Linked DNA regions of Xenopus tropicalis. The protein of the gene in region 1 purifies or fractionates together with the protein of each later gene. This does not show direct contact. Links are inferred from orthologs where the notes say so. Each region holds a gene or a part of one and is shown in the gene's direction. Other genes may lie near its edges.

What was found.
Region 2: the proteins of stx3 (region 1) and vamp8 purify together in Homo sapiens (affinity purification with mass spectrometry; 4 studies listed by BioGRID and IntAct, counting the BioPlex papers as one, with this or other methods). This does not show direct contact. The link is inferred for Xenopus tropicalis from reciprocal best matches to the Homo sapiens genes STX3 and VAMP8.
Region 3: the proteins of stx3 (region 1) and vamp7 purify together in Homo sapiens (co-immunoprecipitation; 3 studies listed by BioGRID and IntAct, with this or other methods). This does not show direct contact. The link is inferred for Xenopus tropicalis from reciprocal best matches to the Homo sapiens genes STX3 and VAMP7.

The regions. Positions count from the first base shown.
Region 1 is NC_030683.2:60,557,869-60,568,281, reverse strand, and holds the start of stx3 (syntaxin-3), read left to right. Parts: upstream 1-5,356; 5' UTR 5,357-5,559; coding exon 5,560-5,589; intron 5,590-6,626; coding exon 6,627-6,704; intron 6,705-8,950; coding exon 8,951-9,050; intron 9,051-10,413. UniProt on the Homo sapiens protein: Potentially involved in docking of synaptic vesicles at presynaptic active zones. Apical receptor involved in membrane fusion of apical vesicles.
Region 2 is NC_030679.2:125,646,754-125,657,166, forward strand, and holds the start of vamp8 (vesicle-associated membrane protein 8), read left to right. Parts: upstream 1-5,320; 5' UTR 5,321-5,343; coding exon 5,344-5,358; intron 5,359-10,413. UniProt on the Homo sapiens protein: SNAREs, soluble N-ethylmaleimide-sensitive factor-attachment protein receptors, are essential proteins for fusion of cellular membranes.
Region 3 is NC_030684.2:65,379,521-65,389,833, forward strand, and holds the end of vamp7 (vesicle-associated membrane protein 7), read left to right. Parts: intron 1-1,735; coding exon 1,736-1,793; intron 1,794-2,520; coding exon 2,521-2,658; intron 2,659-4,361; coding exon 4,362-4,452; intron 4,453-5,282; coding exon 5,283-5,350; intron 5,351-5,494; coding exon 5,495-5,587; intron 5,588-5,764; coding exon 5,765-5,833; 3' UTR 5,834-8,775; downstream 8,776-10,313. UniProt on the Homo sapiens protein: Involved in the targeting and/or fusion of transport vesicles to their target membrane during transport of proteins from the early endosome to the lysosome. Required for heterotypic fusion of late endosomes with lysosomes and homotypic lysosomal fusion.

The DNA.
Region 1 (10,413 bases):
GAAAATCAGCCCAAAGGGATTGATTACTGGCAACATAGCATCTAAGGTACTGTTCCAAAGACTGGTTTGTCCTCTCCGTCTGCCCATTGGTCTGAGGATGATATGCTGAGGAGAAGGACAACTCAGTACCCATCAAAAAACAGAAAGCCCGCCAAAACCTAGAAACGAACTGGACTCCCCTGTCGGAGACTATATTCAGCGGAGCCCCATGGAGTCTAAAAATATTCACCATAAAATGTTCTGCTAGGGATTTCGCGGAAGGGAGGGCGGGAAGGGGGATAAAATGGGACATCTTACTAAAGCGGTCCACAACCACCCATATAACAGTATACCCTTTGGAAGGAGGTAAATCTACAATGAAATCCATGGAGATGTGAGTCCATGGCCTTTCAGGAATCGGAAGGGACTGTAGTAGACCCTGAGGCAAGGACCTGGATGGCTTGGAACGTTGACAAGTTGGACACGAGTCAACATAATTATTAACATCTTGTCTTAATGTTGGCCACCAAAGGGTACGAGACATGAGAGAACAGGTCTTACTGCGACCAGGGTGCCCAGCTGCCTTAGCATCATGAGCCTCTAAAAAAACTGCCTCACGGAGGTTTTCTGGAACAAACAATTTCCCTGGGGGCACATTGGGAGGAGAGTCAACCTGAGCTTCCGTCAGGGAAGTAAGCAGATCTGGATTCAGAGCAGCTATAATCAACTCCTTAGGGACAATAGGGTCAGGTGGAGATCTCTCCAGAGGGTTGGGGTCAAAACTCCTAGACAGGGCATCTGCTTTGACGTTCTTTTCACCAGGTCTATAAGTTATAATGAAATTAAAACGGGAAAAGAATAATGCCCATCTGGCCTGTCTAGGATTCAAACGCTTAGCAGATTCAATGTACAAGAGATTTTTATGATCAGTGATTACTGTTACTACATGTTTGGCACCTTCCAAGGTGTCTCCATTCAGTAAATGCCAATTTTATGGCCAGTAACTCCCTATTACCAATATCGTAATTTATCTCCGTAGGAGAAAACTTCTTAGAAAAAAAACCACAAGGGTGAATCTTATTCGTTACAGGATGCCGTTGAGACAGGACTGCCCCTGCTCCAATTTCAGAAGCATCTACCTGCAGTAGGAAAGGGAGAGCCGAGTCAGGGTGCAGGAGTACAAGCGGAAACAAAAGCCTCCTTTAATAGTTTAAAGGCTGTTAAGGCCTCTATTGGCCAAATGCTTGGATCAGCACCCTTCTTAGTGAGAGCGGTAATTGGAGCCACTAATGTAGAAAAGTTCTTAATAAATTGTCTGTAATAGTTGGCGAAACCCAGAAATCTCTGTATCGCCCGTAGAGACAAAGGTTGTACCCAATTTACGATGGCCTGAACCTTGACTGGATCCATTTCTAGACCTTTATGGGAAATAATATAGCCCAGGAAGTGAACTGAAGAAACTTCGAAGATACACTTCTCAATTTTTGCATACAAGTGATGCTGCCTTAATCTAGATAAGACCTCCTGAACATGGGCACGATGATCAGAGAGACTATTAGAATAAATCAAAATATCGTCTAAGTACACCACTACAGAGCGACCTAGAAGATCACGGAATATGTCATTCACTAATTCTTGAAAAACCGCAGGGGCGTTACATAACCCAAAGGGCATTACCAGATATTCATAATGCCCATCGCGGGTGTTAAAGGCAGTTTTCCATTCATCCCCCTCCCGAATTCGTATTAGATTATAAGTGCCTCTAAGATCGAGCTTAGAAAAAATGGTGGCACCCTTGACTCTATCAAAGAGTTCGGAAATCAAGGGAAGAGGATAACGGTTTTTAACCGTGATTTTGTTTAAACCCCTGTAGTCAATACATGGTCTGAGACCCCCATCTTTCTTTTCTACAAAAAAGAACCCTGCTCCTGCTGGGGAGCAAGAGGGCCTTATAAACCCCCTCTCCAAATTCTCTTTTATATACTCTTCCAGAGCCTGGGTCTCGGGTAGAGATAAGGGGTAAATTCTACCCTTAGGAGGAGAGGAACCAGAGATTAAATCAATGGCACAGTCCTGTGTGGGGGAAGAGTCTCGGCAGCTTTTTTAGAAAAGACGTCCGCAAAAGGGAAGTAAGGAGCAGGTAGCCCCTGTAAAGAGGTTGCGGCCAGAGCCTGGACGGGTTTCATGCATAAGGTCTGACAATCTGTTCCCCATTGGAGTATACTACTAGTTAACCAATCAATCTGGGGACAGTGCTTACGCAGCCAAGGGAGACCTAGGATCACTGGGGTATGCGGGCAATCTATGATGAGAAAGGAGATTTGTTCCACATGGTGTGACCTTATGGACATGGAACAATTTACGGACTTAGAGGAAATAAGCCCACGACCCAGAGACGTACCATCAATGGCAACTAGCTTGATGGGAGGGAATAAAGGAAGTGTGGTTATTCCGTGCCTGCAAGCAAAATTAGAATCTAGGAAATTCCCTTCTGCCCCAGAATCAATAAATGCCAAGCTTTCCTCACTACTCGTCTCCCATCCCAAAAGGACCGGAACCATGACTTTGGATAAACTAGGTTGGGGAGTGGAAACGACATTGCCCAAGCAGAACTCCCCAGATCTGCTTAGGCTCTGTCGTTTCCCGGCCTTTTGGGACAAGTACTACGAAAATGACCTTTATCCCCACAGTACAAACACAACCCATTAGCCTGTCTGCGATCCTTTTCCTCAGAGGATAAACGGGTAGAACCCAGCTGCATAGGTTCTTCTGAGGGCTTAGAGAAGGCAACCTCAGGTCTAGGTATAAACTCTGTATGAGAGGGTTGTGGAGAAGCTGCGGATACTTTCTCCTGACGTCTCTCCCTGTGCCTCCTATCAATTTGAATGGGCAGATACATTAGGGAGTCTAGGGAGGATGAGGCGGGAAAATTGATCAGGCTGTCTTTCACAGCGTCAGATAGCCCGATTCTAAACTGACTACGTAAGGCAATGTCATTCCACCCCGTTTCTACTGCCCAACGGCGGAATTCAGTACAGTAATCCTCAACCCGTCGTTTACCCTGCCTAAGGTTACGAATAGCGGAATCAGCAGAGGCAGAACGATCAGGATCGTCATAGATAATCGCTATGGCTTTAAAAAAGGAATCGAGGGATGTACGGGCTGGATCGGAGGGTGGTAAGGAAAACCCCCATAACTGAGGATCCCCAAGCAGTAGGGTCATAACAAAATTAACCTTCAGCTCCTCCGTGGGAAAAGAACGAGGGAGGAAGCTAAGGTACAACTTACATGCTTCCTGGAAAGCAAAAAATTTACTACGCTCCCCAGAAAACTTTTCAGGGAACGGGACCTTAGGCTCAAATACATACATTGCTGAAGCTGTGTGTGATGAACCGCCTCCTGGGAGAGAAGCGGGAGTAGGAGCGGCAGGCTGTTGTTGGAGCGCATCCAACCTTTCAGATAGTCTCTGGAGCCACTGGATAATCTGGTCCTGCTGGGCTTCTTGTTCCCTAAGACGCTGGAGGAGATTTGCTCGAATCACTTCAGGGGATGGAGGTGACGCAGCAGCCCCTTCAGGGTCCATGTTTAAGGGCCCAACGTAATGTCACGATCAGTATCCCAAAACCCAGAACAGACTCCAAGGACCCGGTCTCGGCTCACGCTTCTGCCTATAACCGCCACCTTTCACGTCGGGAGGAGCCCTTCGCTACTCGGATGCCGCCAGGACTTGTTGTTAGAGACCCGAGGAGAGAGTTCTGAGCAGGCACGGGAACCAATTGTATGACAGGAAGGTGGGGGAACACAAGCGTAGTCAGGACGGGCCGGGGTCAGCAACAATCGGGCAATGCAGTACAAAGTCAGGATCCAGTAGAATAGTCGGTCAGGCAATGGTCGATTCAGGCAGCAAACAAGAGAAGGTCGGGTACAGGCTAAGGTCAAAACACAGCAGGAACACCAGAGAAACACACCCAGGAACTTACAGGAAGCAGAACCTACGTTGGGCAATGATTTCAAGCTAGAAGCACCTTAATTATTTGAATTTGGCGCCATCGTGACGTCATATGCGCGCGCCGAGCGTAGACGCGCGTGCGCATGCGTAGAGGCGCCGGACGCGAGCGCGCATGCGCACAAGGCAGAAGCCTTAAAGGGCCGCACGTCGCACGCGCCCGCGCCTAGGCCGCCCCACTAGACCACCAGGTACCCTTACACCTACTTTCTATGTGTACTAGTACAGAATATCTTACAACATTAGGCCTCATTTATGATATCAAGTGCAATATGGAAAATGCACTAATATAAGCAAAAGTGAGTGCAAATTTACATTGATGTTATTTGCATTCATACAAACTCATTGTCTGCAAGTACCAATGTGCCCCTTCAGCATGCTGTGAAAAATTACGTACGTAACATATGTAACATGTGTTCAGCATTGCCACAAAGGGTTTCCTTACTGGTTTTATTGATAGTTGCAACTGACTTCCACCAAGTGAATCAGACACAAATTCTATTATTAATTCTGCATGACGGAAGTCATACCATAAATTTTGGTAAAAAGTGTGCACCACTGGGAAATTTGAGAAAATATAGGACCCTGGCTAGATGCCAACCCCAGTATATCCCTACCGGACGATTATCCCACACACAACCCTTGGTGCACTGTGACGAGCTGGTATAACATGAAGTTTTAAAACTGTCACTAAGTTTATAATGTAACTGATTGTACCTAATGATTATGTAAGTACCAATTTATTTTATCTGCTTTTCTTTTGTTTATTTGTGTTTGTTTGTAAAATGCAAAATAAAAACCTTTAAAAAAAAAAGTGTGTACCGCAACTTCTGTGCATACAATACAACTTAACGTGTGCCATTAATAAATTTTGGGCAACAACTAATGCATGAAGTTCTCTAACCCTTTTTAGATGTTTGTTTTATTAATTAAGGCATGTAAAACACATTTAAAAAATATAGACTTTTATTTGGTCTTATAGATTTAGATTTATAGATTTATGGGCAGGATACTTAGGTGTGTCCAGAACATACAGTGCATACAGTGAATTCATTCTTTAGTTCAACAGTGAATATATCGTGTATGTTGTTTTGTCAGTTTGTTACGTGGCTCTTTGCTGCTGATGTACCTGTCAAGGTAGGCATTGTAGCCACCCCTCCCTTTCTCTCCTTTTAGTCCTACCTCTCTCTCTTACATCTTCCTGGAAGGATTAGGGAGGAGCTGTGTTTGTGAGAGAACTGATCAAAGAGAGAGGCAGGGGATTTACAGGGAAACAGCAAGCGAGTAGAATCAGAGAATTAGTGAATCACAAAACGAGGAAGAGAAAATTGACCTCTAAAACAGTTGCTGATCTATGACATTTTAATGGAGCTACATTAAAGAATGGTACACAGAAGGTACACAGAAGAAAAGAATGTTACACTCTGAAGGACAGATTAAGCGTATTGCATATTCTGTTCTCAACTAACACTGGAAAAGGGAACAGATAAAAAAAAAAGCTTTGAAAATAAGCCAGGAGATTACAGAAACGTGAAAAAGAGAAACAGTGACTTTCACTAAGAAGTTTCTTCATCATGAAGGATCGGCTAGATCAACTGAAAGCGGTAAGTCCACAAATCAAAGTAACAGGCAATTGTTGTTAGTGTATGGGAGTTAAAAGGTCTTAAGTGGTTAATAGGAAATCAACATCCACAAACCAGTTTTACAGGTTATTTTCTTGGAACCTCCCATGGCCACAGTAATCTATTTAATGACAAATGTGAAAATTCTGCCACCTGGATGTAAATCTGTCCATCGTTTTTTATGCTTAAACTGTACAATGTGTACTAGCTTCTGTGCCACCAATTAAGTTATCACTAAAATCTAAAATTCAAAGTATCAGTGTACTTGTATTTCCAATGTACAGTTGTTGTATTTGATGACTGATTAACAAACTAGATTTATTGGCTAACTAAAAAGATTATGAAACCATTCACAGAGAGCTGTTTTTCTCACTTAACCATTAGCCTTTGAATTATTCAGTGTAAGAATATTTAACTGTACATTGCCTTTACTTTTTCTCATAAAGGTAAAAATATGGTAAAGATAATTGTGTGCATCAGTATAGTATGCTACAATTTTTAGCAGATTTACTTGGTATCAGCCTCTTCTTTATTTTATTCAAGATATAACTGTTTTGTTTTTTGGACTTGTATGCATACAGAGTTATTTTTCTTGCTACACTGTGTGGTTTTCCCTTCCCCCATTACACAGTTTAAAAAAATCCTTAATAACATGTTATAGGTATTAGAAGATAATCCACTGGCCATCTGCACCAAGAGAGACAGACGCACAGAGAAAAGAGACAACTAGAGTGAGATCAGAAAATAGCCAGCTGGGAAACATTCAGAAATGAGACAAACCGATAGAGCAGCAGAGACAGAAACTGCAAGAATAAAATGATGATATAGACTGGTCACGGGATAGCCAGAGGAAACATGAGTCACATAACTAGTGGCAGAGGACAATAAATAGACTTACAACAGGCTACGTGACATAACCAATAACAAGTGCAAGAACTACAAAAAGATTTGTTTTTTTTTTTACATTTTTTTAAATCTCATTATTATGTAAATAATGTATTGTTTGTTTTATTTTGTAGACAAGAGACACTGATGATCAAGATGAAGTTGACATCTCTATTGACAATGCAGCTTTTATGGATGACTTTTTTTCTCAGGTTAGATCTGATATGTACACATTAAAGGAATAGTAACACTAAAAAATGAAAGAGCTTTAAAGTAATAAAAATATAATGCACTGTTGCCCTGCACTGGTAAAACTGGTGTGTTTGCTACAGTAACACTAATATGATATATATAATAAGCTGCTGTGTAGCCACAGGGGCAGCCATTCAAGCTGGAAAAAAGGAGAAAAGGCACAGGTACATAGTAGATAACAGATAAGTTCTGTAGAATACAATAGTGTTTTATCTGTTATCTGCTATGTGCCTGTGCCTTTTCTCCTTTGAATGGCTGCCTCCGTGGCTACACAGCAGCTTATTTATATAAATTATAGTAGATTTTCTGAAGTAAACACACAACTTTTACCAGTGCAGGGCAGCAGCACATTATATTTTAGTTACTTTTATACACTTTCATTTTTTGGTGTTACTGTTCCTTTAATGATGAGCAAAAGTCCAAAGTTTTGTTGTGCTGAACTTTTGAAGCAGTTTCGTGAAAAAAAATTCCAATGGCAAAATTGCTCATCACTAGTACACATGCTACAAAAACATAGCTCTACATGACTTATGGGCATGTATAAGTGCTCTGTAATTTTGAAAGACACTTAGGGGCAGATTTACTAATCCACGAACCGAATCCCGAAAGAGAAAAAATCGTATTGGAAATGAAAATTTTGCAACTTTTTCGTCGCCGTCACGATTTTTCGTATTTGTCGTGATTTTTTCGTCGCCGGCACGACTTTATCGTATTTTACGCGACTATTTCGTCGCCGTCTCGATTTTTTCGCATTGAGCGATAGTAAACGGCGGAAAAACCAATAAGATTTTTTCGCGATGGCGACGAAAAAGTCGCGGAAAATATACGAAAAAGTCGCGACAGTGACAAAAAAAAGGCGGGACATACAAAAAAGTTGCAAAAATACCGATCATTACGAAAAAACTAATTCGGACGCCTTCGGACCATTCGTGGATTAGTAAATCTAAGACCTAAGACACTTCCTACTGAAAAACTGCTTCCTGTTTTAACACATTTTACATTGCAAGGCTGTATTGGAATCAAAACATATTTGATAACAGGCAATGTGAAAATCAGCTTACACGATGAAATGTTTAGCTGTTCAGCTTAGCAATGGCTATACACTACAGATGTTTCTATGTAGAAATTTATATGTGAAGCAGGAAAAAGGTTTGTTTTTTGGGTTAGATGCAAATCCTTTCTAAAAGTCAAAGAAATATATATGAAACAGAGCACTGGAACAGCAACATAAATGATACCAGATGACACATACATGTAAACTAAAATTACACAAAAACAAAAAAGAAACACTGGGATAAATGTAATTAGAAAAATGTCAAAAGGAAATTTTGAGCCATGTATATTGGGGGCTCATTAATAACCTTATTATTATTATTATTAATAATAATAAAAATTAGGGTACACGTTGACCATACAGATTTACATACAAAGCAACCAATATCCGTAATTAACAATATACAGGTATAGGACCCATTATCCAGAATGCTCGGGACCAAGGGTATTCCGGATAAGGGGTCTTTCTGTAATTTGGATCTCCATGCCTTAAGTCTACTAAAAAATCAATAAAACATTATTTAAACCCCATAGGATTATTTATATCTTAGTTGGGATCAATTACAAGGTACTGTTTTATTAATACAGAGAAAAAGGAAATCAGTTTTAAAATTCTATATTATTTGATTAAAATGGAGTCTATGGGGGACGGGTTTTCCGTAATTCGGAGCTTTCTGGATAATAGGTTTCCGGATAAGGGATCCCATACCTGTACAGGTATGAGATCCCTTATCCCGAAACCCATTATCCAGAAAGTTCTGAATTACAGAAAGGCCATCTCCCATAGACTCCATTATAAGCAAATAATTATCATTTTTAAAAATGATTTCCCTTTTCCCTGTAATAATAAAACAGTACCTTGTATTTGATCCCAACTAAGATATAATTAATCCTTATGGGAGGCAATACAAACCTATTGGGTTTATTAAATATTTAAATGATTTTTAGCAGCCTTAAGTTATGGAGATCCAAATTACCAAAAGATCCCTTACACATAAAACCCCAGGTCCCGAGCATTCTGGATTAAAGATTCCATACCTGTACCAGTGTAATCTTATTTGAATAATTTTCTGAACACCATTGTAACTGACTCAGCCTTATCCTATTTTCTATGTAATGTGCCATAGCTTTATTCACTCTTTTATCTGTTTAGATTGAGGAGATTCGTCAGAACATTGAGAAAATTGCAGAGTGTGTTAATGAAACAAAGAGGCTACACAGTGTGATCCTGTCTGCACCTCTCCCTGAGCAAAGTAAGTAGTTGCACTTAAATTAATACAGATACAAATATACATATGCCCTTAATTCATATTTCTTTAATATTTTATCTTTAGAAGAAGGAAAAGTGCTAAGTGTAAAATATGGCCTAATCCCCCGTGTTTTATACACAGTGTAACATATTTATTGCATGTACAGAATTTTTTTTGTCTTTTGTTAATCATGCCCAACTTGTGTTTATGTCAATATACTGTACATATACATTGCCATTTTCTAGGCACTTAGTAGACATTCAGTTATACACACTACAATGAGGTTGGTATTAAGATAGTTTAAAATAAATAAAATAAATACTGTGAGCGCAGCACACAAAATTAACCCTTGATGTAAAAGGTGACAAAACGCAGGCGTAATTTCTTCTCTGCCTACTGGGTGCTAAGCAATAGGTATTTCTGGTGCTACAATATTTATGCTTAGTGCTGACATCGAACAAATACTTTTTGTATGGTGTTTTTACATATGCTAGTTTGCATCTGTTTTTATGCACTGTTACTGCACCTGCTGCTAGAAAATGAGGTCCTGGAAAAAGAGTATGATAAGAGAGTGAACTGATGTATAGGGGTGAACTTTTTTACAAGCGTAGGGACCCATAGGGTTAAGCTCCCTATGGCTTTATCCCCAACCTCTTCACACCTTTACTGTTATTGGGCAGAGCCCTTATACTCAGGTTTCAGTTATGTAACTGTATTCCTTGTAGGTTTATACAGGTTGACCACTCCTCTTGCAGAAGTGGCTTCCTCTTTGGCTGCCTGTCTGCTACCTAAGCACAGCTCCCTCTGAGCCTGGGTGCAGCAACAGGCCCCAGAAAAGCCAATTCTATCCCAGAGACCCTCTTAACATCTGGAGAAGTCGGGGACAGGGCCCCGTGAACGAGGATAAGCCAGCACAGCAGAGTATTTAATAGCACTTTCTAGGAAAGTGAGCATAGTCAGCTCTAGCTAGAACGGGCAGCCATTAGCGCCACCAAAGGAGTGATTAGATCCAGGAGTAGTTCTCCTATCCGGCAATGTTGCCTCAGTGCAGGGCCACGGAGTAGAGATAGTGGCAGGTAGGATAACCCCTGATCCCTACTCACCCGATGGACCCATCCACTAGAGGTTATCAACCTGAAGGAGCTCCTTCTACTTGGACTACCTCCCAACGGGTACTGGTTGAAAGGTGTGTCTCCCTGCCCAGACTCTAGCAAGAGGTGGGATAAAACGGTGCATACCCTCTCTTCTACAAAAGTGCATTTCCTCATTGTACCATTGCAATCTGCCTGTCTGTGAGTATGATAACCCTGCATAACATCTGTGTCTTGGACCAATAAATCTGTATTATAGTTTATCAGCACCTTTC
Region 2 (10,413 bases), on another chromosome or scaffold:
GAGCAAAATTTCTAAATTTCGTTGCGGCGGGGTGGCATACTGCCCCTAAACTTCTGCCGCCTAGGCCCGGGCCTTTGTGGCCTCTCCACAAATCCGGGCCTAGTTGCAAGTACCTTCTAATTACCAGTATTTTACTTGTACTCAAAATATGACAGCTGATTAAATGGCACAGGGGGTGGCCTCTGGGCACCTTAACTAGAAATACCAATTTATATGCTGAAATCCAGCTGCAAAACAGTTCTTCTTTTTCTGCATCATTTGAAATCTTTGCAGGGAGGAGGGACTAAAACATTGATGTTACAATTGTAATTTAGTCAGAAAAAGAGTGAAATCCAAGAAATTTCCTTTTCTTCTGCTGTTTCAACACACACCATCCACAGTGTGATAACAATTGCACAATGAGATTTAGAAACAACGCAGAGACCGCAGTACTTCAGTCTGCAATTCACCTTTTATTGGTGCATATCATCATCACTTGAAAAAGGGATAAGTTCCCAAAACATTTTGTGATACGCACCAATAAAAGGTGAATTCATACTGAAGTACTGTGGTTTCTGTGCTGTTTCTAAATCTCATTGTGCAATAGTTACAGCAGGAACTACATAACCCACAATGCATTGCACTGTGATGTTCCTTTCCTTATTGATAACACACATGCAGGAAGTTGTGGGATTTTTGTTGAGTCTCAAAGTAGTCAGCCAGATCAGCAGGGGAACAGGGGGCGGGGCTCCGGGAACTGTTCCAAACCATATTATTACATTAAAAATCATGAAAAGGCTGCATATTTTTTAACTGATGTATATTGCAAAGTTGCTTGAAGTTAGGTTTACTTTTCAAAAAGCTGAAGTTGTTTTTTTGGTGGAGTTCCCCTTTAAAGGAAAAGTAACAACAAAAAATGAAAGCATTTTAAAGTACTTAAAATATAATGTACTGTTGCCCTGCACTGGTAAAACTGGTGTATTTGCTTCAGGAATACTACTATAGTTTATATAAATAAGCTGTTTTGTTGCCATGGGGGCAGCCATTCAAGCTGAAAAAAAAGGAGTTAAGGTCCCTTGGGCAGCTTATCAGCCCGTGTAGGGGCAGAAATGAGGGGCCTGCCCGACCGATACCTGGCATAAAATTGCCCAGACATCGATCAGCCAGGTTAGAAAATTCAGTTGGATCGGAGACCGCATCGGCTCGTTGATGCGGTCCCTGAACCGACTGCCCCATTGACGCCAATATAATTCGCCCCATGGCCAACCGATCGAATGATTTTTTTTTTCACCTACACGCTTCCCGATATCGCCCACCCGTAGGTGGGGATATCGGGTGAAGATCCGCTTGCTTGCCGATCTCGCCAAGCGAGCGGATCTCAACGTGTATTGAGTAAACACCATTGTATTCTACAGGGTTTATCTGTATCTATCTCCTTTTGAATGGCTGCCTCCGGGGCTACACAGCAGGGTATTTATATAAACTATAGTAGGGTTTCTGAAGCAAACACGCAACTTTACCAGTGCAGGGCAGCAGTACATTATAGTTGAATTACTTTCATACATTTTCATTTTTTGGTGTTACTGTTCCTTTGATGAATTGACCTAAAATGCCTTAACTGAATCCCATTTCTTTTGTTGATGTTTGAATAGCATTTACTATTAGAGCAATATGAACTAAGAAAATTAAGCCATTATTGGTCCCTCAGTATCTATTTTACTTCTCTCAAACCATTTTCCCATACCCCCACCCTCCCCACCATAAGCCCACACTGTCTGGTCACTCTATATTTTCCACTCAGTCGAACACACCACACAGCATAGGCTGCAGAAACTTACAGGAAATGTTGCAGAGAGAAATGCTGGGTGTGATTGTCGTGCTAAGTACTAATCATTGTTATGCAATAGTGAGCCATATTTATTCATGTAATTAGCTGTTGGACACAGCACATTCATGATCATTGGCAGTAAATTAAGCGATTAAGAAAGTGTTCTTTTGTGACATTATTATAAATCTTGTTATTATCCTGTATTTATGTTGCACTGATACATTAACAGAGACTAACTGCCCCAATGGAGCTTACAATCTAAAGGTGGCCATACACATTAAGATCAGCTTGTTTGGTGAGGTCGCCAAGCGATATTGGGCAAATTTAGGCTAATTCGGTTGTTTGGCCCTGGGGCCAAACGATCGAATTATAACAACGGTAATGGGCACAGTCGGTTCAGGGACCGCATCAACGAGCCCCATCGATATCTTCCTGATTCCAGGCCCATCCTTGATGCCCCTACATGGGCCGATAAGCTGCCGAATCGGTCTAAAAGACCAATATCGGCAGCTAGAATCGGCCCGTGTATGGCCACCTTAAGTTTTCCATCACACTCAGAGGTCACTTTATCAGGAGGCAATTAACATGCATGTTTGTTTTTGGGCTGTGGGAGGATGGTGCCCAGAACAGAATCAAACTCGGGGGCTTAATGGTACAAAGCACTAAGACCTTCAATTCCTATGAATAAGTGTTGTGAAGGCATTAAATGTATAAGGCAAAGGGATTTATTATTTTAAATATTGAGAAATACATAAACATTTTTTTACCTATAATTTCTTTGAGGTGCAGGATTGCTTTTGTGTTTTTCTATATGGACTTTGCTGTTCCTAATGGTTAACACCCACGCCCCAGAGCATTTTTATAATGCCATAATGCTCCCTCAACAACTGCTTTATGTAACTGCTGCTAAGCCACTGCACTGTACTAGGAAGGCTCATAGTAAGTGGTTGCTGAGATAGGAATCACAAGCAGTTAATTCTTCACGTGATTGCTATATCTGTTTCCTGCTGGGAAATTACAGTATCTTAAATTCATTACCAAATTCAGTACCAAGTATGTCAGCTGACCTTTACTTGTACGCCCTTTCCCTGTAGAGGACTGTATGATTTTCTCTGAATTACCTGGCATAAACCTTTCTAATGCAGCTTCTTACAGTGAGGAACATGCTTAATTCAGCCCCAAGGCAGGGCCGGAACTAGGGGTAGGCAGAAGAGGCAGCTGCCTAGGGTGCAACGATTGGGGGGCGCCAGGCAGGAGCCTCTCCTGCCTACACCTAACTCCTTTGTCATTGCCCCCTCCGCTTGTCATTACGCAGTGGCGGCAATGAATTATCGCGTGGGGGGAGAAGGTGCAAGGGCCGGGTTGCCTAGGGCGCCTGATCGCCCGCCCCTGGGCCCTACCCAGATGTAGCCCAACCATAACCCCTTTCTGTTTTGAAACTGGGCAATTGGCAGGGATGGGCTGGGTATGTGTAGGAGCTATATTATCAACTGAGCCGTAATAGGAAGGTGAGCAGCAACCTAGATGTAACTGCTGTTCCTAGAGTAAAAAAAAAAACTCAGAAAAGTCCAGTTGTTTTAGACTTAATTCTACTAGATACTGTAGTGTAGAGTAATCAATGTGGTTTATTCGGTAAGGCATTTGTGTGGCACTAGCCTGTGAGTGTGTGATTGCACTGGGCAGTTGTTTGTTAAGTAGTTCTGGCAAAGAAATAGTGACTGTTATGAAGGGCTCATTTTAACCCAAAGAGTCTCCCTGCTTGCCACTAATACACACAGGACCTCAGTGTCAGACTGAGATGCCAGGGGCCCACCAGAAAACCCTGAACCATGGGCCCACTCTCAAAACATTAAGTCCTCCTCTCCTCCCTCAAACTCTTTATTATTCTAGTCTCTTTTCTCTACATACTATACTCTATTCTTCCATCCATCAAGCTTCCTTGTTCCCATACAGAAACAGGGAATGGCCATGAAATAGGCTAAATAGTTAGAAGCAAGAGGGGCCACTGACACCTGGGCCCGCCGGAAGTTTTCCTGGTATCCTGGTGGGCCAGTCCAACTGCAGGACCTAATGGGATTTTGTAGTAAAATATCAACCTGCATATTACATTTTATCCCCCTTCAGCATTCGTAGACAGTTTTTAGCTAAATTCCATTTAGTGTGGCTATACCTGGCCAACGCAACGAAGCAATATGAACTATCAGACCGAAAATCTGCCCAGTGTGGTACTAGCCATAATGAATGAAATGGAAAAAGAATAAAGGGGAACTATCAGGTGGGTGTCTGGGCTTAAGGGACCATTAACACTACACTGTTTTTCATACAACTAAATATAACTAAAGTTATTGCTACATATCTCCACTAATGGAGAAAACACCACAACTGTTCTGAACCACTGTGAAAATACAATTTCAGTTGTGACAGGACAGGAGAATAAACCACAGCAGGGGTGCAACTACAGAAGATCAAACCCTACAGTTGTTGGGGACACAGGATGTATAGAGGGCCCATGGTCACTGACTGATAGACAATTTCATTTCATTCTTATCTGAAATTATGGTCGCCACCTTTGTTGGTGGCGAAACCTGAAAAAAAGGGTGGGGCAAATGACATCAGGGGTGGGGCAGTGATGCTGGGGGTGGGTGAGATGACATCAGAGGCAGGCACAATGATGTCACACCAGGTTATGATGCCAGAGCAGGGTTTTGCATCACTTACACACAACTGGCTGCACTTCTGTCCAGTTCTTTCAATGGCTCAAACCGGACAGACAGTTTTGAACCAGACAGACCTTTGAAAACCTGGGATGTCCAGTTCAAAACCACAAGGGTGACAACCCTAGCTCTATCTATATTTTTGCCTGATGAGTAAGTCCAATCCTGTAATTAAAGGAATGGAACCTGTTACACAGAAATCAGTTATCCAGAAAGCTCTGAAGTACCGCAGTGCTAATTTAGAAGAATGATGCCTTATTTCTGACTTGCTTTTTCTCTCTGTAGTAACAAGAAATTGTTTTTTAACTATTAATAGAAAAAAAAAATCATGTTGACTATCTTAATATTTAAATGTTTTTCATTTATTGGCCAGATTATTGTTAAGGTTTTACAAGGCTAAAAACTGAACAGTTAAAACCTGAACATGCCTTAGAGTTTAGCTGTAGCTTTGCTCAGGGGCACAAAATATAGTTATTCACTCTTGGGTTGTCAAATGCCACTGATGGGCAGGCTCAACAGAATTATAGAACATAACCCGTTTTCCTTTGAAAACTCTGTTCTAGGGACTCTGTGCCTCACAAACAGCACCTGTTACTTTCTTTTTAGCAAGGAACGACTATTGTGAGGTAAACTGTCCCCATTGGGGCCCCGCCCACAATACCTGGAGGAGGGCCCTCCCACTAGCCCTGCGGGGAGGGGAGAAGCAGCGGGGCCGGAGGTGGGAGGGAGAGCAGCCCGAAGAGGAAGGATCGCTTTCATAAGTCACAGGCAACAGGAAGAATAACAAATTCCCCTTAAGCAGATTCAGAGGGACAGACAGCCATGGACAGGAGGCCGGTGAGTGGTTAAAGGGAGGAGGGGGAGTGTAGAAAGTTAGTACGGTCGGGGCTGATAGAAACTTGGGGACCCCCAAATGTTGTTGCATTGAAAAACTTAGGTTGGAACAACTTTCTGCGCCTGAGCTCTTGCGGAACTATAACTGCTACACTTCCCTGGCAGCTCTTGGTTGGGGGGCTGGGAGTTATAGTTTCCATAAGAGGGTCCCTGGCAATGCAGGGAAGGTGGGGAAAGTGTTGCTGTGCCGGTGAGGGGTAGGGGCAGGGAGACAGAAGTCGGGCCGGTAGCTAATGCTTAGGGCAATGGAATGAAGTTGGGGGGGGGGGGGCGCAGGAATGTACCATTGTACAGAGGGAGACAGGAGGAAATGGCGTTTAGCAATAAGGGTTTGAGAAGGAGAGTGCAGAGAGATTAGCAGGACGGGCACATGAAGGAGATTAGATCCCTGTTGGACTTTGGATCGGGCTGTTTACTTCCTACTGAGGATAATGACAGACTGGGGGAGAGGGGCATGGGGGAACAGTAATGTATGGAGGAACAGTAATGTATGGGGCTTCTCTGGGCCACTGGGGATGTGGATTATAGATCAGAGCCAGGGCATTAGCTAGGAGCCCCAGCAATAGGCAGCCTTTATATGTTATTGCATCTTCCTTTTGAAGGGCAGTTTGTGGTTAATAAAGGAAATTGCTTGTGTACTTAGTTTCACAGTACTGGGCGGTAATGGGCTACCAAGTGCAAAGTTTGCTCCACTTCTAAAAACCTATAGGGACCAATTAGTAGGGGCATTTGCTAAAGATAAATATGATTGTTTGCTAGGGGTTACTGGGGCAAACTTTGCACCTGTTATTACATTAACCCTGTATTGCTGAGTATGTATGGCATGAGTATCGGTATAAAAAAAGTTATTTATCCATAAAGAAAAAACTTCTAGGGATCCTGTAATGTTCAGGCAAGGGGGAAACTGGACTATACAAAGGCTCTTTATCCTCTTGACTACATATTAACTGCTGGCTCTGTAAGTTCATTGATTTGGGCAAAACATAATATTTTCTGTAGTATCAGATATTTTGTGTTATTTGTTTTTCTGCTGTAAAAATATATGGCGCAAACTAGGGAATGAGCAACGTGTGGATCTTAGCATCTTGCTGGGTGTGGGGGTTGTAGTTTGACAACATCTGGAGGCATTTATTATGAATTTGCATCAACTGATGAACATAGGTAAATGTGTGTTGTATCTTGTGGCATTTGCTCGTGTCGGCACCATAATTTATTGGGCGCTTTGTTATTAATCACTAATGGTTACCATTGTGCCATGGCTGCACCTGTCGGGACGTGTGTACAGCTGGGAATTGCACAGACGCAGTGTGAGTGTGCAGATTCCTTTGCATTGTGTGTAAACAGTGATTCAAGTCTTCAGATTCCAATAATGAATATAGGGTGTCAGTCATCATCTCTCTCTCTAATCTGATCAGTGCCCGGCCCTCCTCTCTGGGATTCAGGCAGTGCATGGGTTAAGCAGACATTTCAGACTTTCCAGGACGCAGATAGGTGTGTACATGGGATGACGTCGTCAGGTTGGCTATAATTGTGACAGTGACACATAGGCCAAGGAGGGTGCTGTAACCCTTATCTTGCGGGAGCCGGGATCAAGTTAATGATGTCTTTCATTACCAACTGTCTTGTCTGAGAAGCTAGAAAAGTGCCGGCTTTCTACTGAATCCCAGGATCAGAATCCTGGATTTGGTGCACGCCTAATACTTCCCCACCAGGCTGCAGCCATAGAGGGGCGCTATAGCACAATTTCATGCAATGTTTAATTACTGCGCAACAGTACTGCTTGCCTAAGGAGCGCTATATGAATAAAAATATACATAAATACAAATTCTTCCATCTGGGGAAGAATAGAATAGAATTTCCTATTCTTAGTAAATTTTTAGTTGGTCTTCATTTTTTTGAGTTATTTGCATCCTCTTCTGGCTCTTTCCAGCTTTCAAATGGGGATTTGGCAGCCAAAACACTATTGCTCTCTGAGGCTCCAATATTATGGTTACTTTTTATTTCTTATCTATTCAGGCTTGTATTCATCTTCCAATCTCTCTTTCATCCCAGTGGCTAATTGCTAGGGTAATTGGACCCTAGCAACAAGATAGCTGCTAAAATTTCAAACTGGGAAGCTACTGAACAAAAAGCTAAATAATTCTAAAAACAAAAAAAATGTCCATAAACCATAAAAAGACCAGTTGAAAATTCTCACAATATCATTGTTTAAATCATATTCAGTGTTGGTTTAAAGGGGAACTAACCTTTTACCACTAGATCCTGAAACTTTTCCAGCCTGTCCCTCTCTCCTAGGTGTACATTTAATTTACTAACCTCTGTGCAGATCACTTTCTTCCTTTATAACGCCCTAAGTCATTGACATTATATTGTAGCTCAAAGAATACTTTCTCATTTTTTGGTATTTACTGTACTCTCTTGTGTATTTTATTCTCTTCTCTGCATCCTCCCTCCCTAGGCAGCGAGGCTGATCCCTAACTATTATCAGCTGCACAAAGCTGTTATTATTGAATAACCTGTTTGTTATTAGCAGGTTCTGGGGGTGCGGCCTAAGAGTGTGTGCGTCATTGTCTTGAGGACGATGCAGGGGAGGAATTACCGAGACAATCCCTCATAGAACAAATGATATGTTTAATGCAGTGATTCTTAATCTTTTGTTTTTTAAGGGTATTAAATTTTGTTAGAGAATTAGCCACATGACCCAAAAACTGATTTAGAAACATTTGTGCCCCTCATTTTCATTATAATTTCTATTGTAATAAATAATGTCACATTCTAAAGGGGCTGTTCGTGGCCAACGTCCAACAGCATGGGGACTCATTCTGGGATGTAACCTAAAGGAATTTAAATAGAGACTGTACTTAAGTAACAAAGTGGCCTGCTGGGGCCTTTTATTAGTTTGTATAGGGGGTTTTCATATCTTGGCCTGGACTGGCAATCTGTGGATTCAGCCAAATGCCAGAGGGGCTGCTGTAAGATGCCATAGTCAGTCACTATTTATTGGGCTGGTAGGGGGCTGTTTGGGCCTCTGTGTACTTGGAATTCCAGGGCCTATTTTGACTCCCAGTCCAGGCCTGCTTGCACTTGATGAACATGTGTCTATATATATATATATATATATGTATTAATATTTTCATATTTATAGGGTATAGGAATTATATATCCCTATAAATAAGTGTATAAGATTTTATAGTCATTATATTATAAATGGAATGGGCCTAAAATGTGAGGGTGTGGTAACACCCTAAAGATCCATATATGTACACTTTATCACAGTATGGCTCCAAAATTCAACTTATGGAGTTCAGATTGCAGTAAGCTCTGCCACAATTTCCTGCTAAAGTTAATTTGCTTAAGCAAATCTACCCAACCAAATCTAGATGTGAATAGCCAACTTTAGGACAGTGGCTTACAGGGTTGTTCACCTTTGAGTTAACTTTTAGTATGATGTAGAGCAGGGGTGCCCAGACTTTTTAGCACTGCAATTGGCTCCTCCCTGTGTACGTACACGACGCAGCATACATATGCACACCACATAAAAGTGCCGCATTTCAAGGCTTAGACGCAGTCCAACAGAAGTCCATGGGAAATCGACTGGTGGACCGCCATCAACGTTTTGGCCACCCCTGATGTAGAGAGTAATTCTGACTTTTTGTTTAGCAGATTTCCAGTTTGTAATTTCAGCAGTTATCTGGTTGCTAGGGTTTAAATTAACCTTAGCAATCGGAGTGGTTTAAATGAGAGGCTGGTAGGAGAGGACCTTAATAGAAAAATAAGTAATAAGAAGCAACAGTAACGATAAAATTATAGCCTCACAGAGCAATAGTTTTTTGGCTACTGGGATCAGTGACCCCCATTTGATTGTTGGGAAGAGTCAGAAGAAGAAGGCAAATAATTAAAAAAACTAAAAAAAAAAAATAATAAAGACCAGTTAAAAAGTTGCTTAGAACTTGGCCATTCAATAACATACTAAAAGTTAAATCAAAGGTGAACCACCCCTTTAAGGTGGCCATACACGTTGGACCTCGCCAAATGAGTGGATCTTTTCCCAATATGCCCACCTAAGCCAGATATTGTTCGAGGAGGCTTGTAGGGCGTCAGGCTGATAACCTTCCAAACTGGTGTAAAGGACTCGAATCAGCAGCTTAAATCTGCCCGTGTATGGCCCCCTTAAGGCAAGGCAGTCTGCATCTGTAGAGAATATAATGTTAAGGTGGCGATTTGCAACCGATGGTCGCACGAAAGATCGTTAAATCCGCCACTAACCTTCACGGCTGAAACGGCAGATAAGGAGGTAGAAACAATAAAAAAACAATCTAAAACAATCTACCTCCTTCTGCCAATTCAGCCCTGATGGCAGATTTTGCTCAGGCGCCTTCTATGGTGCCCGACCAAAATCTTTCAACCTGGCCGACTTGCCATACACGCACCGAATATCGTACAAAACGAGGTTTCGTACGATATTATCGGTGCGTGTATGGCCAGCTTTACATTCAGTAACATATGATCTTATCTATCACTTTGCGTGCAGCCCATTCTGTCAATGATGGGAAATGGTTGCAGTCAGGCTGAAGATCTTGTTGGCTGATGACCCTCGTTGGTGTGTGGGGAAAGCTACAGGAAATGGCAGGGGCCATCCTTCCTTTTCATTTAGGGTGTGGTGTCACCATAGAAATAGAGCTGACCTGTATGATCAGAGCAGGCTGACCAGCCTGGTTTTCTGTCCTGTTGCATACAACAGAGTCCAGGCCCAGACTAGGATTTAAAATAGGCCCTGGGATTTGAAGTACTCCAAGGCCCAAACAGCTCCCCCCCCAGCCCAATAAATAGTGACTGTCTATGGCATCTTACAGCAGCCCCTCTGGCATTTGCCAGTCCGGCCCTGATAGTCAGACCGCTCGTGTGGGTTGAGCACAAAGGAGCCGGGCTGTGCAGAGAGGCCTCTAACTGTGAGAGAGGAAATAAATGTGGCTGTTCTCATTCCAACATATAGAATTC
Region 3 (10,313 bases), on another chromosome or scaffold:
GGAAGCCTCCCATAGGACTCAATGGTACTCTGCAGCTCCAACCTGGCCCAAGGAAAGTCACGATACCGAAGCTTGAATGAATCCGAAACTATCGTACTCGGCGCGACAATACGATTTTGTCGCAACATTAGAAAAAGTTGCAGAAAATACACACAGTACGATCAAATACAAATATTTTGTAATTCGTATCTGTCGTACTTTAATAAATAGGCCCCTAAGTGTGATTTGAGAAGCTAAGCGTAGGGGTTGTAGCAAATGATCAAACAAAAATTAGGTTTGCCTGTCATATAAGCTGATGCTTTGGGGAGGATTAGTATATTCCCATGCTAATTGCACTTGGCTCAGAGCTGCCATGTACTAATAATTTATTATTCACTGATCAGCCTTGTATTGTGATTTATAGCCTGTATATATACAGTATATTGTTTGTTGGTCCCTAAGCTCAGGTTATTGACAGCAGCACAGAGCATGTGCAGTGAATCAGCAAAAAAGAAGATGGGGAGCTACTGGGGCATGATTGAGGCACAGATCTTCCTGCTAAAGGGTTGTGGTTGGCTTGGGCTGGTACAGAAGCCCAATATAATGTACAACTTGTCTACCCTACTTCTTTAGTTAGGCTTTAGTTCTTCTTTAAAGGAATACTGTCATGGGAAATCATATTTTTTTCAAACACATCAGTTAATTGAGCTTCTCCAGCAGAATCCTGCATTGAAATCCATTATTCAAAAACACAAACAGATTTTTTTTTTTCTCCACATGGGGCTATCCATATTCTTCATTTCCCAGGGTGCCATAGCCATGTAATCTGTGCTCTGATAATCACACTTTACTGCTGAGCTGCAAGTTGGAGTGATATTCCCCCCTTCCACCCCCCAGCAGCCGATCAGCAGAACATGGGAGTAGGAGAAACAATAGGTTACCTGAAAGCAGTTCTAATGTGAAAGCTCAGACTAAGGCACAATGCACTGAAATTGGGCCTACATACCAATATTACAACTAAAAAATACATTTGTTGGTTCAAGAATAACATTTTAAATGGTAGAGTGAATTATTTGCTATGTAAACAGTGTAATTAAGAGATGTATATAAGTATACCATAAAAATCATGATCCCACAGTTTCTTTTCAGCACTATATAATTTCCAGCTTGTAAAACAATTGTTCAAATCTTTTGTTACTGCAAGTGATATGCATGTATTTATACAAGTGACAGTGCTTAGCACTGCTGCTTACTAATGTTGAACACTCCACTACCACTCCATGAGGTAGAATCTCATTCAACTGCTATGATTTTTAGCAACAGGTGTGGCTGAAAGCACTCATGCAGGTTCTGCCAATCTGACAAATATAGAGCTAAATAGTGCACATTTTATGAGCCTAGTGGTTGAAATTATGCTTAGTAAATAAGTCTTCACATCCGTTTAAGTGTTCTATTTTTGTCATATCATGTGCATAAGTTTTATAACTTAATCTCAAGAACAATCTTGAGATACTGTATGCTTGGCAGAAGTATTGCATTTTGTAATATCTTTTTTTAACCTAATAGCATCGTTTGTCTTTAGGTTTTATTAAGTACACAGTTTGCTGCTACTTTTTAATTGGGTGTAAGCGTATTATACCTTATTTGGTTTTTCTAATTCAATCAGTCTTAAGTGCTTATTATTTGTTTGCACAATGCAAATGTTATGAAAAAAAAAGTACCAGATACTAATTTTGCTTCTGTACTTCCTTTTCAGCTATTTGTTTCATTACATTTGCCAAGACAGAATAATATACCTTTGTATAACTGATGATGTAAGTACCAGAAATGATCCTCTTGTAAGCATGTTTGATAAAGAAGAAAAAAATGTAAAAACTAAGGAAGCTTTATTAGAAAGGTCTATGTAAATACAGCCTTAAGCACTCACAGTAATGCTGCTTCTCTATCAAAAGAAACACAGGATTTTGTGTCTTTTTTTGTAAACATGTTCCAGTGTCTGACTTCCTCTCTCAGAAACATCCTCAATTCCTGTGGCCATAGTCTGCACAGTTCTCTCCTCTCCCCTCTATTGCTCTCTCCTCCTACAAGAATGCTAAGAACTCCATCCCTCCTCCCTTAGGAATGTGTGATCTGAGCTATAACTAGACTGCAGGCAGGAAGCTATTTAAAATGGCAGCTGCTATCTTAAGCAAACGGAGAAAGCTTCTAAAGCTGTTTACTCAGGTATGGTAATGGTTTCTGCAGAATAAATATATTGTTCTAGGTGGCACTAATGTGGCAAATCTTTTGGCAGTAAAATGCCAAAATGACGTTCCTTCTATTTAATTTTGTTCACATAGCCATGTTGGTTATAGCTCAGAGATTCTATGTAATATGCCTTTGCTACATCTTCATATGTCTTTTACTGTTAGGTCTATAATTGGTGTTTTACAGTTTACGATTGTAAACTTTGAAGTTTGCTTTGTCACTAGTACAGGCAGTCTGCAAATTTGCCTGAGCTACTGCTAGCTTCCCTGTTAATACATGATTCTGCTTTGACAGGACTTTGAGCGTTCCAGAGCATTTAATTTCTTGAATGAAATTAAGAAGCGGTTTCAGACAACATATGGATCAAGGGCACAGACAGCACTTCCCTATGCCATGAACAGTGAATTTTCTAGTGTGATTGCAGCACAGTTGGTAAGAAACCTCAGGAGCATTCTTGGACATTTTGTGTTACAGACATCCTTGTGCTGTTAATGGGGTATTTTATCTTAAAATGTAATTTTGGTATGTTGTATACAGTCTTATTACAAGATTGTGCCATTCATCATGTTTGGTTGTTCTGTAGTTCTTTAGTTTGCCATTTAAACTGCTGTTTGGATACTAGTGTCAGTGAATCGAGTAGTCAGGTGGGGATTTAAACAACAGAAGTTGGCCTGAATAAAATAATGTGTAATAATGCAAATCTATCCTCGTACACTGTCAATCTGCTTTTTGTTATTGGATTACTGACCCTACTAACCAGATAGATTTATATTTCAGAATACAAAGGTGAATAATTAAAATAACAGAAAATAGAATAAAGACCAATTGCAAAACAGCATGAATAACATCTGTGTACCATTTACAATGTTAACTAGACATTGAAGGTAAATTTGAAAAGCAAAGCGGCAGTACCTGGGTTTGCTTAGCTGCAAGCAAATGGCCTTTCACACAGTGCCTTATAGATATCCAGTTAATTATCTTGAGAGCATTAACTGATTATGAATAGAATCTCTCTAAGCCTGTCACATGGTAACATGTGATCTTGATTCACAACAGACACAAGTGTGTGAACATTCCTTGATCCTTGTGGTGTTTTTTTTTTTTGTAATTAGTATGTTTTCGGGACTAGACACAAAAATTGGATTGATTGATTGTCACAAAGGTGATGTGTTAGTAAGTTAATTGTATAGACACTTTGTTAAAACAAATATTTATAGCTGCTCATTTTCAGCAGAGTTAACCTGTACAGAAGGCCTTTCGGGTAATTTTTAGAATAGTTCTTTGTGTCAAGTCATGGCTAGATAGGAGACTGATCCCCTATGGATGAGGAATTCTGTAGAGTACTGGGATGGCATCCCTTATCCAGAAACTCATTTTCCAGAAAGCTCTGAAATACAGAAAGGCCATCAACCACATTTTAAACTAATAATTTAATTTTTTTTTTTAATTATTTCCTTTTTCTCTGTAATAATAAAACAGTACCTTTAATTGATCCCAACTTAGATATAATTAATCCTGGTTGGAGGCAAAACAATCCTACTTGGTTTAATTAAGGTTTATATGTTTTTTAGTAGATTTTAAGTATGGAGATGCAAATTACAAAATACTCCTTATCTTGAAAACCCCGGGTCCAGAGCATTCTGGGTAACAGGTCCCTTACCAGTACACTACAGGTAGTGAAAGTGCCTAGATTTTCAGGAAACTCTTGAGAGTATCTCTGATATCCGTTACTATCAAAATCATTAGAAATGACTGCACTACAATACATGGTGGTCCATCCATATAAGTCTTCTTGCACAGCTGAAGATGCTCTTTCTGTCTGCAAATGCTGAATATTACATTAACTTTTTCAGAGGGACTTGGGCATAATTATATTTGTACCATTCAGAAAGTTATAACAAAGTATCAAAGTTGTACAAGAAGTTTCTTATATGGCATGCTGTAGGTATTCACACTAAAGGTATTACATGTGTTTTTTGGGCAAGCATATATTAATATAATAACCAAAGTGATAAGAAGTTAGTCTGTATGGCTTTAAAGTAAACACCTATCCATTCACAGTACATATTTAGTCATGATGTGGACTACATTTTTTAACAGGGCATTTATAATACATATTTCTTATCTTTTATTAGAAATACCATTCTGAAAATAAGAGTATTGATCGTGTAGCAGAGACCCAAGCACAAGTCGATGAACTTAAAGGAATTATGGTCCGAAATATAGGTAAGTACAAACTGCAGACATGTTTGCTCTAATGTTTTTATTATTACTGTATATCCATTTTCATATAATATAGTGCTGACAGTTATTTGCAGAGATGTTACATTGTTCACATTAGTCCCTTGTCCCAGGGGATTTTACAGTCCAAGGTCCCTAGCATTCACACACTGTAATCAGTGCCAAATAACATTTCTGTCTTTTTTGGAATGTGGGAGGAAACTGGAGAAACGGAGGAATTCCACACAAGCACAGGGAAAATATGCAGACTTGTTGCAGATGATGTTCTCGCTGGATTTAAATCTAATAATACGGATAAGGGACTCAACATAAGTTGGACATAGTTCATTGCACTAATTTAATCTTGCTTAATCTATAAGCTGTTCTTTAGGAGATTGGCACAGATGCCATTTTTGAGAATTTTGCTTACATGTTTGAGGAAACAAAAAAAAAAAAACCCTGGGAGACAAATCAACATTGTTTACATTGTTATTGGGCTTTGAGGCCAGTGGCACAAGCAGGGGTTTCTGGGTCCTAAAAAATGTGGGCGTTATGATATGCTTTATACACATTTTAAAATTGCATTTCTGCCCTGTATGTTAGTGATGCACAAGTTGGCCAGGTTTGGGCTGACCAGTATGAACAGTAAATTAAAGTAATTTATTCATATAAAGGGCAATGCCACCTGGAGCACTTCAGGGCATTTTGTTGTCCCTGCAATTTCCAGCTGGGCAGGTGACAAAACACTTGGAATCTACATTTATGTTTGATCCTAAAACTGGAGCCTGAAAACTGTCACTTCTCTGACACAGATTTACCTTGCCTTTTATTTCCAGATCTGGTTGCCCAAAGAGGAGAACGGTTAGAGCTACTGATAGATAAAACAGAAAGCCTTGTTGATTCTGTAAGTATGCATTTGGTACTGTTTTTAAAATTGTTTTCTCTACTGGAATTATGTCGATTTCTTAGTCCTTTTATTCATTTTATAAAATGCTAGTGTTCAAATTATGTTGATGACTAAATTTTATTCTTTATCACTTTCTTAAAGTCTGTCACGTTCAAGACCACAAGCAGAAACTTGGCCAGAGCTATGTGCATGAAAAATTTGAAGTTGACCATCATAATTGCTATTGTAACCATAGTAAGTGCTGCTCTCCTCCTCACTTGCTGTTGCTTTTAAAGTGGTTTGGTAAATGCAACGTAATAGGGGTTTTCATTACTTTACATTGGTTGCTATGGGTTACTAGATGTGGGCAAATAGTCAAGTATTTATTATGCAAAATGTATTTATCTTTTTTTTTTTTCCCTTCTCCTATAGGTTATCATCTACATTATTGTGTCAGCAGCATGTGGGGGACTGTCATGGCCAAGCTGTGTGAATAAGTAGTGTTTTCTAGTGCATGAGGATTGTCCAAGAATGAGGAAAATAGTGCACTACTGTTTCACATGTGTAGCATCCTGTAGAAAAGAGACTTTAAAAAGAAGCCTTTTCCCTTGGACGCGATGACTTATCCTCTTCATTATTCTCTCATCCTTCCATCCCTAGTGGACTTCTACTGTATCTCTCTACGACATATACAAGGGAAAAGGAGGAGTGTGCGGCATCATCTTGTGCAGACAGTGAGTTGGAAGAGAAATTGGTGAATACAGATCGGCATTTCTTCTTTTTGTTGATTTTTTTTTTTGTCAGTACTGTGCCACTGATAATACTCATTAACTTCCATGACTTGTATCTGCAAAGAGTTTGCGTTTTTAGTCTTAACTGAAAACTTTTTTCCTTTCACTTTTAACCCTGTTCTTAGAGAAATATTCATTTTGTGGCTGGTGCCATTTGGGCATATTGCATTGGATGCTTTGGATTATGTGTGTCATTTGGCACCTTTGGTTGGTTGACCCACTGTAATATACTGTTTGCCATACCCAATTCCATGTGCCTCATTTAGACACACATTTTCCGGTAGTTCATGTTAAATTGTTAAAATGTATTAAGATTTTGTTCTCATTCCAAGAAACTGTTTTTATCGTTGTATACCCAGTAGTGGGATAGACTAATATTTCCCAGAAATGTCAAAAATCTTTAAGGCACTTCTGATCAACAGAAAGAAAACGTATTCTCATAAAATATATATATATATATATATATATATATATATATATTATGTTAATTTTTTTTTTTTGACAGGCCCTCGTTGTTAATGTTTGTATGCATTTGTGTCTGAAATGATGCCAGGCTGTGAAGCTACTTGAAAATCAAAAATTCTTTACACATGCCATTGGAAGTTAGACTTCTTTTGTTTCACTGTTGAGGGCTAAGTGTTCTTGCACCTCTGAGGGTCATTGAGAAAATATATGATCCCATCCACTGAGTTTACTGCTGACTATTAAGACCCAGCGAAATCAGGCATCAGCTGATGGCACACATGCCTTATTTCCTGCTGGCATTTTTCTACTGGCAGAGAACTGCCCAAACCTGACTGTGAAAGCCTCCACTGACAGGTTCAGACACTTTTCAGCCAGTTGCAAAAAGGCAGCAGAGTATTGACCACATGTGCCATTAGGCTAGGGCTTAATGCTTGCATTTTATTATAGCACTATTAAAAGACAAGCATGCCTAAGATAACTTGGAATGAAGCTGACATAATCCATGTTTGTTTTAGTCTTTCATATATCCTGTTGTGTTTCTATCTTAAAGTTACCAGTTTAACAAGCAGATTTGTAATGAGAGCTTATAGAAAGAACTTTACTTGATTGCTTAGCACTTTTACGACCAGTGTATAATGGGAGATTAGTGATCCTGCGTATCAAAGTTGCAAAAGGATGAGCACGAGTCGGGATGGCAAACCTTGACTTCTTTGAGTGTAATAAGCTGGAAAGCTGTACTATGTGCAATATATATATATATATATGTGTATGTGTGGCTTGCTGCATGTATTGTTTGTGTAAATGGCAAAACCACCCAGAAATATTCAAGCAAACTCAGATTCTAAAAATTCTAATTATCTGTCCACATGTATATTTCTGTGTTTATGGACCCCCTCCTTTTTTTTTTTTTTTTAAACCTAAAAATGTGTGTGTGTGTGTATGAAAGGTCACTGGATTACATTACATTTAATTACATTAAAAATCACATCATAATCTTTGTGAAATCCTGCAAATGGGACAGACATGATTTAATGTACATAGAAACAGTACTGAAATAAACAATAGCACTGTGTTTATCACTCATCTTTATGTTTTTGTCTTAAAACCAAAACAAAGTTAAAGCAATTGCAGGGATGGTATTTTGAGAAAAGTTGTGATGTCTTCATTTTTTTGTTTTTTTAATTAATCCACTATAAGTGGCTATCTGGGTGGGTTTTTTTTGATGCGGCCTTTAGTTTACCCTTTAGCAAGATATTATGGGTAGGTATGTTGATATGCTACTTCCATTTCAGCTCCTCTCATACCTAGAATTAATCTTTCCTGGTTTATTTCTGCATTTTGCAATGGCATTGGGGTGGGTGTGGTTTACGGATTCCCCTGTTACAGTGTTTGCAAGAGACACAGCAGTTTTTCTATTGCAGATAAAATACAAAAATGCCAGTTTATGTAGTAGAATTCCAGAGATAATGAAACAGTTGTAATTGCAAATCTTTCCTGCAGTCAGGTAACACACAGTTAGCTAAACACATCTACACAAATATATTATTTAAATCACTTCTCCTTTATCTTAAAGTACTGGAGCACTGCTTTTTAAACCAGTCTTTTTGTAAACAGTGAGATTTGCCAGGACACTAGTCACCTTTATTAGTATGTGCACAGTACTCTGATTACTTTACCTGCCATATATGTTGCATTGTTTGGACTTCCTTCTAGACAGTTGCACAGAGGAATAAAGACTAGTGCAGGCCTGGAAGGATAGAGACGGGATTTGCCAGTCCAGTATATGCACAACTTCTGCAGTATTTTTCAGAAGAATATAATCACTACTAACATGCGCCATTGGCTAACTGGAAACCATGGCTGCTCTTTCTGCTGCTGCCAGGAGCCTCCTGTTCTTATTTATAAGCCAATGTAATATTGTAGATGCTGTGACTTTCTCTAGCTTCTATGGAAGAAATGCCTCTCTGTCTGCTCTAAACAGTAACGCTCTTTGGGTGTTAACTCTCATTCTGGGTACTACTTTTAGGAATACGGAGTCAGAACAATTTATGACAATTTAAAGTTGGACTTTGGTTTTGGATTTCCTGGTGTGAATATTTAATTCCAAACAGCTGTGATTCTAGTCCACTTATTGTGGTGCTTGCCAATCAAATGAAGGATTGTTAATAAAGTAACCTATATACCAAACATACATTGTTGCCTTTTTCATAGATGGGTACTTTGCATAGTCCCATGAGTGGCCATCTAAGCACCTTTGCAATTTGTGATTGGGGTGAATGTAATAAGTCTTCATTGGAAATGTGAAAAAATAAATGCTTTGTGCAGACAATTTTCCCTTCGCTCAAATTCAAATTCAGTTTGGATTCAGTTTGGCCATGAGCACGGATATGGCTGAATCCAAATCCTGCCGAAAAAGCAGTCTTGGCCAAATCCTGGATTCAGTGCATCCCTAGTGTGCAGTGTATGTAATAAAACTTCTTACTAAGAATAAGTTGGTTTTTTTTGTACAGCAACTTTAGGCAGGCCTTAAATACTTAATTGCAAATATTAATTATGCACAGTGCAACAGTCTAATGAAGAATATTGCTAGTTTTTATGCTAATAGCATGCTTTCAAACTCAGCAGCTCTTTTTGAGATTATCAGTGATTCTGAAACCCACAGGTCAGGAGGGTTCGGGGTGACATTCACACAGTATTTGTGGGGTGAGGGTGGGTTTAGGTTAAGCTCTGGCTCCAGCAGCCTCTATTTATAGACACGTGTCTGCCCTGGCTCTTTTGTGACATCAAAGAGGGGCGAGTGCAGGTCTATAAATAAAGGTGTCCTGCCGGGCAGAGCGTGGGGGGCAGGCGGGTTCAGGTTGACTGTCAACCTGCACATCTCTAACTCCAGGTTAGATCCAGGCCTCTAAACTGTTGGGTAGTAGGATTGGTACTCATTTAAATTACTGTTGCATTGAAGTTTGTAAAGAGGCAACAACCAAAACTATACCCCCCAAACAATGTAGGTCTCTATATAAAATAATTAAAATATATAATAAAATTGCATGAACAGTCTCAATGTAAAACCCTGCTTCATTTAAATAATTTTCAGAATATACTTTTTTTTAGTAGTATGTGCTACTGGGTAATCCTAAATAGAAAATTGCCATTTTAAAAATAAAGAGCCGCCTCCTAAGATTATAGGATTCACAGTGCACACAAACAAGCCAAGGCACACACACATGCTAGGCTCCATCAGCCAATGAATGGACAGAGTTCTGTCTTTTGCTTCCACACTACTTCCTGTTACAGTTAGAGCTGCATTATTTCTGGTCATGTGATCTCTGAGGGAGCACACAGCCCATCACTAAATGGTGGGGCTCACGGGAAAGGATGTAAAAGGGCAATATTTACTGATATATATATCTTTAATAGATCACGTAACATGATATAAACTGTTAAAAATAAATCTGTTGGTTATGTATTCATTCTGGGGGTATAGTTTTCCTTTAAGAAAAGAGATGTGGAAGCTATGCTCCTGTTTCTCTTCTTCATGTATTGGCATCACAAATAGTTCAACTATTACAGAACAAGCTGAATATATAAACATTGTCACATTTTACATTCTTTTTTTGCCCTCATGAAAGGAGAGACTGGTCTAACCAGTCTCTCCAAGTATCTGCACCAAGTAAAAATATGCAACTTACTGTGTAGAGAAAATGATAAAAATTAGAACATTACTACCA